Linked DNA regions of Neurospora crassa OR74A. The protein of the gene in region 1 interacts with the protein of each later gene in a biochemical or structural test. Links are inferred from orthologs where the notes say so. Each region holds a gene or a part of one and is shown on either strand. Other genes may lie near its edges.

The links. The genes of interacting proteins can lie anywhere in the genome.
Region 2: the proteins of ck-1a (region 1) and tng form a complex in vitro, tested with the Saccharomyces cerevisiae proteins (2 studies listed by BioGRID). The link is inferred for Neurospora crassa OR74A from reciprocal best matches to the Saccharomyces cerevisiae genes HRR25 and SIT4.

Annotation. Positions count from the first base shown.
Region 1 is NC_026501.1:7,562,095-7,566,152, reverse strand, and holds the start of ck-1a (casein kinase I), read right to left. Parts: upstream 2,808-4,058; 5' UTR 2,692-2,807; intron 2,545-2,691; 5' UTR 2,377-2,544; intron 1,762-2,376; 5' UTR 1,716-1,761; coding exon 1,704-1,715; intron 1,613-1,703; coding exon 543-1,612; coding exon of another isoform or gene 539-542; exon of another isoform or gene 428-538; coding exon of another isoform or gene 418-427; exon of another isoform or gene 415-417; coding exon 342-414; 3' UTR 1-341. UniProt on the Saccharomyces cerevisiae protein: Protein kinase which phosphorylates serine and threonine residues. Can use casein as a substrate. Phosphorylates elongator complex member ELP1/IKI3 on 'Ser-1198' and 'Ser-1202' which promotes the tRNA modification function of the complex.
Region 2 is NC_026502.1:724,311-728,221, forward strand, and holds tng (serine/threonine-protein phosphatase ppe1), read right to left. Parts: upstream 2,746-3,911; 5' UTR 2,347-2,745; coding exon 2,199-2,346; intron 2,071-2,198; coding exon 1,674-2,070; intron 1,611-1,673; coding exon 1,181-1,610; intron 1,109-1,180; coding exon 917-1,108; 3' UTR 509-916; downstream 1-508. Other genes in the region: NCU03435 (hypothetical protein), read left to right, coding at 3,399-3,640, 3,699-3,911. UniProt on the Saccharomyces cerevisiae protein: Involved in the dephosphorylation of the large subunit of RNA polymerase II. Is required in late G1 for normal G1 cyclin expression, bud initiation and expression of certain genes that are periodically expressed during late G1.

The DNA of each region.
Region 1 (4,058 bases):
AGGAGCAAGACAGATTCGACCAAGAGTCGAACTGCACTGCCGCCATAAACCGAAGATCCGTCCGAGCCATGAATAAGGGCAGTAACTGATAGAGATGCCGAAGAACGAAGAGAAGCAATCTGTCGCAAGTAATCCGTCTGGCTGTGTAGAGGAGATGCATCGGTCGATGGTGCTGGCCAGGTACAGCCATCCGCTTCCACTCCATCCAGACGCTCGAGGGACGTTGGATGACGAAAGGCGGGTGCAGGAATCAAACCATTTGACCAATGCGCAATCTGCTACTCCAACAACCCGCCGAAGATCTTGTTCCAAGTAGATACCATGTGCGAGCAACCGCAGTCTCATTCCATAGGACGATACCTGCCGGCCACATGTCCGGAGCCAGCGCCTTGACCTTTAGCAGCCGAGCGCAGCCTATTATCGCAAACTGAACGTCAGCCATCATGTCAGCATTCTACCTCCGGCCAGCGTTATTGAGTACACCAAACTCGAAGGAAACAAGATTCCTTACTAGGAATGCTGGGCTAGGCTGGCAAACTCACATCCTGTCGCTGCCACCGACGGCACGGCTGGTCTCAGGTGTCTCGCCGGTCATGGGCTTCCTGGATCCGCTCCTCAGGGCCTGCTGAGGGTCCTTACGAGCAGCAGCCTGGGCCGCCTCCTTGGAGTCCGCAGGCTGGGGCTGGCTGGAGTTGCCAGCAGCCTGCTGGATAGCCTGGGCGTTCTTCTGGTACTTGTAGACGGTCCAGTCAAAGACGTAGTCATACTGGAAACCTTCGCGGACGAACAAGTCACGGAAGATCTTGCGGAGATAGCTGTAATCAGGCTTGTCATCGAAGCGGAGGGAACGAGTGTAGTTGAGGTAGATGGCAAACTCGTTGGGGAAGCCGCGGCAAAGAACCTCGGTAGGAGTGGTCATCTTCTTCTCCATGATGCGGTCGTACTTCTGCTTCTTGGTGGCAGCCTTAAGGCCCTGCCACGGGAGGGAGCCGCGGCAAAAGTAAAGCATGACGTAGCCAAGGGACTCCATGTCGTCACGGCGAGACTGCTCGACGCCGAGATGCGTGTTGATGGAGGCATAACGGGCAGTGCCAGTAAGGTTCTTATTCTCTCTGTAAGGAATGTGGAAGTGAGTCTTGGGATCTCTGTACTTCTTGGCAAGACCAAAATCGATCACGTTGACCTGGTTGCCACGCTTGCCAATCCCCATAAGGAAGTTGTCAGGCTTGATGTCGCGGTGGATGAACGACTTGGCATGGATGTACTCGATGCGGGAGATGAGCTGATCAGCAAGCAGCAAGACAGTCTTCAGAGAGAACTTGCGGTTGCAGAAGTTGAACAGATCCTCCAAGCTGGGGCCAAGAAGGTCGAGGACCATGGCGTTGTAGTCACACTCAGTGCCGAACCAGCGGACAAAGGGGATACCAACGCCACCGGCGAGAGACTTGTAAACGCGGGCCTCGTACTCTAGTTGAGGGTGTTTGGCCTTCACGCTCTCCAGCTTGATGGCAATCTCTTCACCGGAGATGATGTTGGTGCCGAGGTAAATGTCACCGAAAGAACCAGAGCCGATCTTGCGACCGATCCGGTACTTGTTACCGACGCGGAGATCCTAGCCTTCCAGTTAGCAGGATGCAACCTTTGACGTTGGCAACCAAAGGCCTAGGAGGCCGTGGTGATTCGGAATTGACGGATAAGCGTACCATGGTAGTCATGTTTGCGGTTAATAGGGGAGAAAGACGAATCCCAGAAGATCAGTAACTATAGCCGATAGATGTCAGTAAAAGGGCCATCAAGGTACGCATACGCAACGATGTCGAACGCTGAGCTGTCGAGAAAGGCCAGTGTCGTCCCAGGTGTTCGGGTGGGAGTCCTTGCCCGGCTCGGTCACAATAGGTTGTTCGACTGCTCCATGAAGTGGCCCATGTGTCAATGGTGACGGCAACATTTCCAGAAACCTCTGCAAACACATCCACATCGTGCATCGCCCTGGAAGACGGAGCGTCTGGACGGCGTGACAACACTGTCCATCAGGGCTATGTCGACACGGACGTGTTCAACGATGGCCTGGGCGACGCTGCCATCCTTGGGGAGCATTGTAGTGATGCCATTCCCACCATCATGCCAAGAAGGGTGTCGAGGCTATTGAAAAGCCTATCAAGTCGGTGTCGTGACCGATGGCGACGGTGTGCATCCGGGCAAACAGCGGGCAAATGCGGCCAGCGCGGGCAGATTGGTTGGCGGACGGGCCAACAATCAGCTCACCGATACATGGCGGCAGCTGAGTGGAACCACCACAATGCGTGCAGCAACCTCCCTCGCTCGCTGGGAACGACAACCCGTCTGACGGAAATGATGATGGAAGTTTTAACTCACTCTTCGGCGGGATGTGTTCTCCTTTTGTAAACGGTCGTCGCAGACCGAATGCTGTGCTCAAGGGTCGTCGAGACCAGGATGGCAATGAATAATCGAGAGGGGCGTGCGTGCCGAAGAAGGCTGCTTAAGTGATGTTGGAGCGTCGGGGGCGATGAAATGCAGCTCAATCTGTACGGGTATGTGTTAAAATGCAGTCGAGACGAAGCGTGCAGCGGCAAGCTGATGGACGCGGGCTTGGTGTTGATGTATGGTGCAGCATGCGGGGGAAGAAAAAAAACAAGAGATTGTTTTGGTGGTTGGGGTAGGTTCTCTTACCGTCGTCGTCGCCGCCGGGAAATTTTAGGTCGTCGGTGGTGAGACGGGGGGCGAGGGAAAGGACGATGTGAAGAGGGAAACGAGACAGCGAGAAGGGAGGAGGAGGCAGTTTGGTGACTGGGACCGACTGGGACTTCTGGACAGCCGACCGACCTGGGGGACTGGGGACTGGCAGGATTTGAGACGGCAACGCCAAGTGCCAGCCAGGCTCGCCAGATCGACCAGGCCCAGCCAGCGCGCGCTCTTTTGGCTTGGTTCTTGGCGGCATCCAGCTGGCGAACTGACGGGAAGTGGAGGAGCCGTGATCCACCGCCGCCATCCACAGTGTCACAGTGCGGGCCAAGCAATAAGCCGGACACAGTGCCAAGGTGAGCGAGATGGCAAAAAATGACTGGAGCTCTCTCACTGCACCGTCGGACAGCGAGCCACCTCAGGCAAGGGCCAGGCGTCCCAGGCCTGCCAGCCCAGGGCATTGGAGGGCGGAGTTTCATGTGGCTTCTGGGCGCGCCCTTTTCTCTGGCAATGTCCAACTGTCATCCAAAGATCTCCGAATGCAGGCTTGCTTTTCAAACAAACAAAATCTGCTGATTTGCAGTTCCCCAACAGGCAAGGCAAGACGCCGGCAACACCTTACGACGGCAGGATAGGATGCAGGCGGCACTGCAGTGGACATTGCGTGGGCAAGGCAAACGTGCTGCGGTAAGGTAAGGTAACCGAAAGGCTTATACTTGATGATGCGGGCAGGACCGCACCGTACCTCTACCTCTACATACCTCTATTTACGAGGGAAGGCATGATACACCGCGCCTCCCATATTACGCCCTGTGAATGTGGAAGAGGTCGGAATGAAGGCTCAGCGTTTTGTTAGGCAGAAACTGGACGGGGCCCAATAGCCAATCCAGTGCCAAAGTGCCTGCCTGCTTTCAGTTCGTTCTCTTGCTGTACGCAGTACTATTGAGAGTCTGTGCTGTATCATATTAGCTTGGTTGGCTCCCGGTCCCAAAATTAATACTAAATCTGACTGGTATACGTTACAACAGCAATTGCGACAAATACGACATCCATAACCCATCCGATATCAGCTTCGAAGAGAATTGAACGGCACTTTGATCAAGTCAGGTGCCTTCTCTGACTACTTTAGAACACTACGCAGTACACATTCTGTGACCAATGTCCCGCTTCTTCCCCGTTCACAACTGCATCATTGTGATGTTTCACTATGGAGACTATACGACAGACGGAATGCAGGAGCCCTCTTTCAAAAGATCAGACGAAGGGACCAAAACACAAGCAAGGCGCATCGTTCAACCATGGCGGGATTGACAGCTCGGTGTAGTGTACATTCTGCGTACGACAGGGCTCTGTAC
Region 2 (3,911 bases), on another chromosome or scaffold:
GATTAGGTAAAACCAATTAGAAGAAGAGTGCAGTGGTAGACGGACGAGTGTCCTTTGATACTACTGACTGAGATACAACGAAGTGTCTGTCTTCATAGTATATGTCTACACCTCTGCCAGCACCGCACCAGAATAATGTGGCTGATTTCAGTTGTGCTAGGTATTATAAACCCATGAAAGAAAGTAAGACAAGTACATACGACCATACCCACTGGAAAACTCGGGATCCCGTCCGCTCTCCCATAGATAAGCCAGTGAGGGCCAGACTAGTAGTTGGGTCGGTGACGACCAGCGAATCCCTGGTGTTGTATGTTTTTTTTTTCTCCTTAGTTTCCCGTCCTTTTTCTTCGTTTCCTCTTACCTTTCATGTTCGTTCATGCCCGTGACCTCGAGGGTCAGCTCTTGCACTGGCTCTGGCTATTTGTTGGATGTTGGTGACAAGAGAGGCCTTGTATTGTTGGGAGCCAATCAAGAGATCGAAACAATCACGCACAGACCACAATCTTGTGTTTTGGTTGTCTCCAGTTGCCCCTATTATTTGTGTTTAGCCAAAATCATCTTCCCTGCGACTCTCCCTTCATAGCTATCATCAAGTCCGCCACTTCGCTTTGGTGTTGGCTCCAACACTTAATGATTGAACAACGGTAAAAGCCATAACAACGGGATAGTGGTCGCTGGCACTTTCATAGCCTCATTCTGGCACTTGAAACACAAAATTGGGTAGTATAACGCCTCGGAAACGCCAAGTATAAATCCCAGGCAGAATGTCATACATGAAAATTAGGATCCTTGGAGTGGTTGCCACCAATTCCCGACGACAAAACGTGACCTGCCCATAACGCAACGACATGCTTTCTTGACAACAAGACAATCATAACACCGCCCTCTCACCTCACCTCGCGCCCTCGATGTTCTGTCATAGGAAGTAGTCACCCAGCCCCCTTCGGCCTGCGGGGATATGCCGTTGATCGTCTGGCACGGCCGAGAAGATGCTGAACTTTGTGTTTTGGTCGCGGTCCACCGTCATGATGGATGCGACGTTACCGCAACGGTAACAGTAGTTGGGTGCCGACCATACGGTTACGACCGACTTTTCGGCAAAGTGGAACTAGATGAGAAACGCAGGTTAGCTGGCATTCCTTCTCATAACTGTGGAGAGCAACAAAAAGTGATGACCCACCTTGTAACCCTCATTTACCAGCTGATGCGCTCTTGCAATGGTTGTCAAACCGTTGACGTGGTTGAACTCTGTCGCGACCTTGTCTCCGAACAGCCAACCAGCGCCACGTGGACTGACAGCCCATGTATCGACGTCTTCTGGGTCACTCCACACAAGATCGCAGAAAGCACCCTCGTGCGGAATCTCCTGAGCACGCGCAACGACGCGGATCTGGTCAATCGTGCGGATCTCGGGACTGAGACCGCCGTGGACGCAGAGAACGGTACCGTCGACAATGGCGGCAAGAACAAGAAAGTCAAACACTTGGCAGCAAGCCTTCCAGACAGAGGCGTTGCCGTACTTTTGCTGGCACTCCTCGTAGAAACCGTAGACCTGGGTGATTTGTCGGGACTCGTGATTACCGCGCACTAGAACAATGCGATCTGGGTATCTGTTGGGCGAAAAGTGTCAGCAGCGTGAACCGAACCAGAACTAGAACGGGGGGCCTTCGTACTTTGCCTTGAGACACATGAGAAGGGTAAATGTCTCTAAACTGAAGTACCCTCTATCCACGAAATCTCCGAGGAAGACGAAGCGAGTATCGGCCGATTGAGAGCCCGTGTTGGCGCTGGATTGGGGGGTCTCTTCACTTGGGGATTCCTTCTCGCTTCCAGCCCCAGCCTCACTGTCTGTACTGCTCTTGATCTTCTTCTTGAGGTTGGGATCTGTGATTTCCGTTGGGGGCTCGATGTCCTCGGATGTGATGACGGTTGTTGCGGTCTTGGGCGCCTGGACGTTTGTCTCACCGGGCATGCCACCAGCAACGCGAAAGAGTTCGAGGAGATCGTAGAATTGGCCGTGAATATCACCGCAGATGGTGACTGGCGTAACAACAGGCTGGATGTTCGATTCTGATGACGTGGGGACACAAGTCAGCTGGACAAGTTCCCTTGTCGTGCGCGCCTTGGGAACACGGGATGCGAACGCGCGCGCGCGCGCGGGCATGTGTAATCCTGACTAGTAGTTGGTGCTCAAGTACCTTCCATAAGAACTTCCTTGACAATTTCGCAGAGCTGCTTCATGACAGGCTCAGGAAGGTAATGACATTGTTTCGCCTCCTCCAGCCACTCATCTAGACCGGCTCCGGGACGAAGATTAGCCGGACCCGGCTTTGGAATCGTGGACATGATGGTTGTATATAATCGGACTCGAGCCTTTTGGTGTACGGGCTGTAGTTGCAAGATGGGCGAGCAGCGAGCAGCGGGCGAAATATCTTATCAATCGAAGGGATGCTTGTGTAAGGCTGCGATGGAACTTGGGTTCCGCAATTGTTAATGTCGCTAGATGAATCGCGGGTCGCAAGGATTCGTGATTGAAGGGTCCTGGGGCCACCAAGTGCAAGTGGGAGGGCACTGCTAGACTTAAGTTGTGTTGTCGGGTGTGTTGGGTTGTTGTTTGTTGTTGGGATGAAATTCTAAGGATGACGACGATGCCGAGCGCGGGATCTGGATGGCTGAGGTGAGGTTGAATGGATGGGGCTGGAATCAACCTCGACCTCGACCTCGAACTGTGACCGGGCGGGCAGCCTGCCACCCACCCACTGGAAACCTACTGGTACTGTGAAGGTACTGCGTGGGACCCGTGGCCAACTGCGGTTTGCCAGTGGGCGAGTGCCCTGAATGGATTGCGCTGCAGGCCAAATCACGCGCGCACATTGGCGCCGAGAGCTGCCCCCCTCAGCCGCTGTGGGTCTGTGCACTCCCTTAAAGCAAACGAAGTTCTGGATCCCCGGAATTGCGGGGCACTTGGATTGTGGATTTCTTATCGAATCCGATAAGGCTGAGCGGTAGGTACCGCCGTACCTTAAAGACCAAGCTCCACCCTTTCCACTTCACTCAGCAATCGCATCCCGTCATTGCTCTTTGGATTTGTTACCCGAAACACTCATCCAACACCGCTCGCGCCAGCCGCGCCCTCCACTCTCACCAACATCGACAGCTTGATGTAAACTGTCGTTTCTCCAAAGACGGAGTCTCCCATCACGACACGAGCCCCCGCTGGTCTCGACCACCAGTACTTAGTACGCCGACAGACAGCTCTATCAACCACCGATAGACAATCATTCCGCCAATACTGTGAGCGAAGCATGAGGCTGTGATTTCTACACTAGCTCGAGACTCCACCCAGAAACTACACATACCCCGACCATTCCAAGCCACGGTAGCTTCAAAATTCAACCATGATGGCGGCGCCCCAGCTGCTTCTGCGCAAACCTAATGGCACCGCTGCCGGCCAGGCCACCAATGATGCCCAGAACGCACCCAAGACCAAGCCTCAGTCCGAGGGCGAAAAGGTGGTTGTCCGTCGACTTCCTCCCCTGCTAACCGAAGAAGAGTTCTTCAAAATCCTCGGCGATGAATGGAAAGTCGGCCATGGCAAGGTTGACTGGTTTTCATACTGGCCTGGCAAGAGCTCCCAGCAGTAAGTACATCACCGCAGCTTCTCCCCAACGCGCTTCTCACACAATCATGTGTCACAGTCCCTCACGGCCATCTCGACCCTCCCGCGCCTATATTCACGTTATCAGGAAAGATGACCTTTTAGTGCTCTCACAAGCTGTACAGAATGGCGTTTGGGAGGACGCCAAGGAATCATACAACGACCCGGTCCTGAACCTGCCGCCCACAGTCGAGTTGTCGATTCACAAGAAGATCCCTAGCGACAAGAAAAGGGTGGATAACCGCCAAGGCAC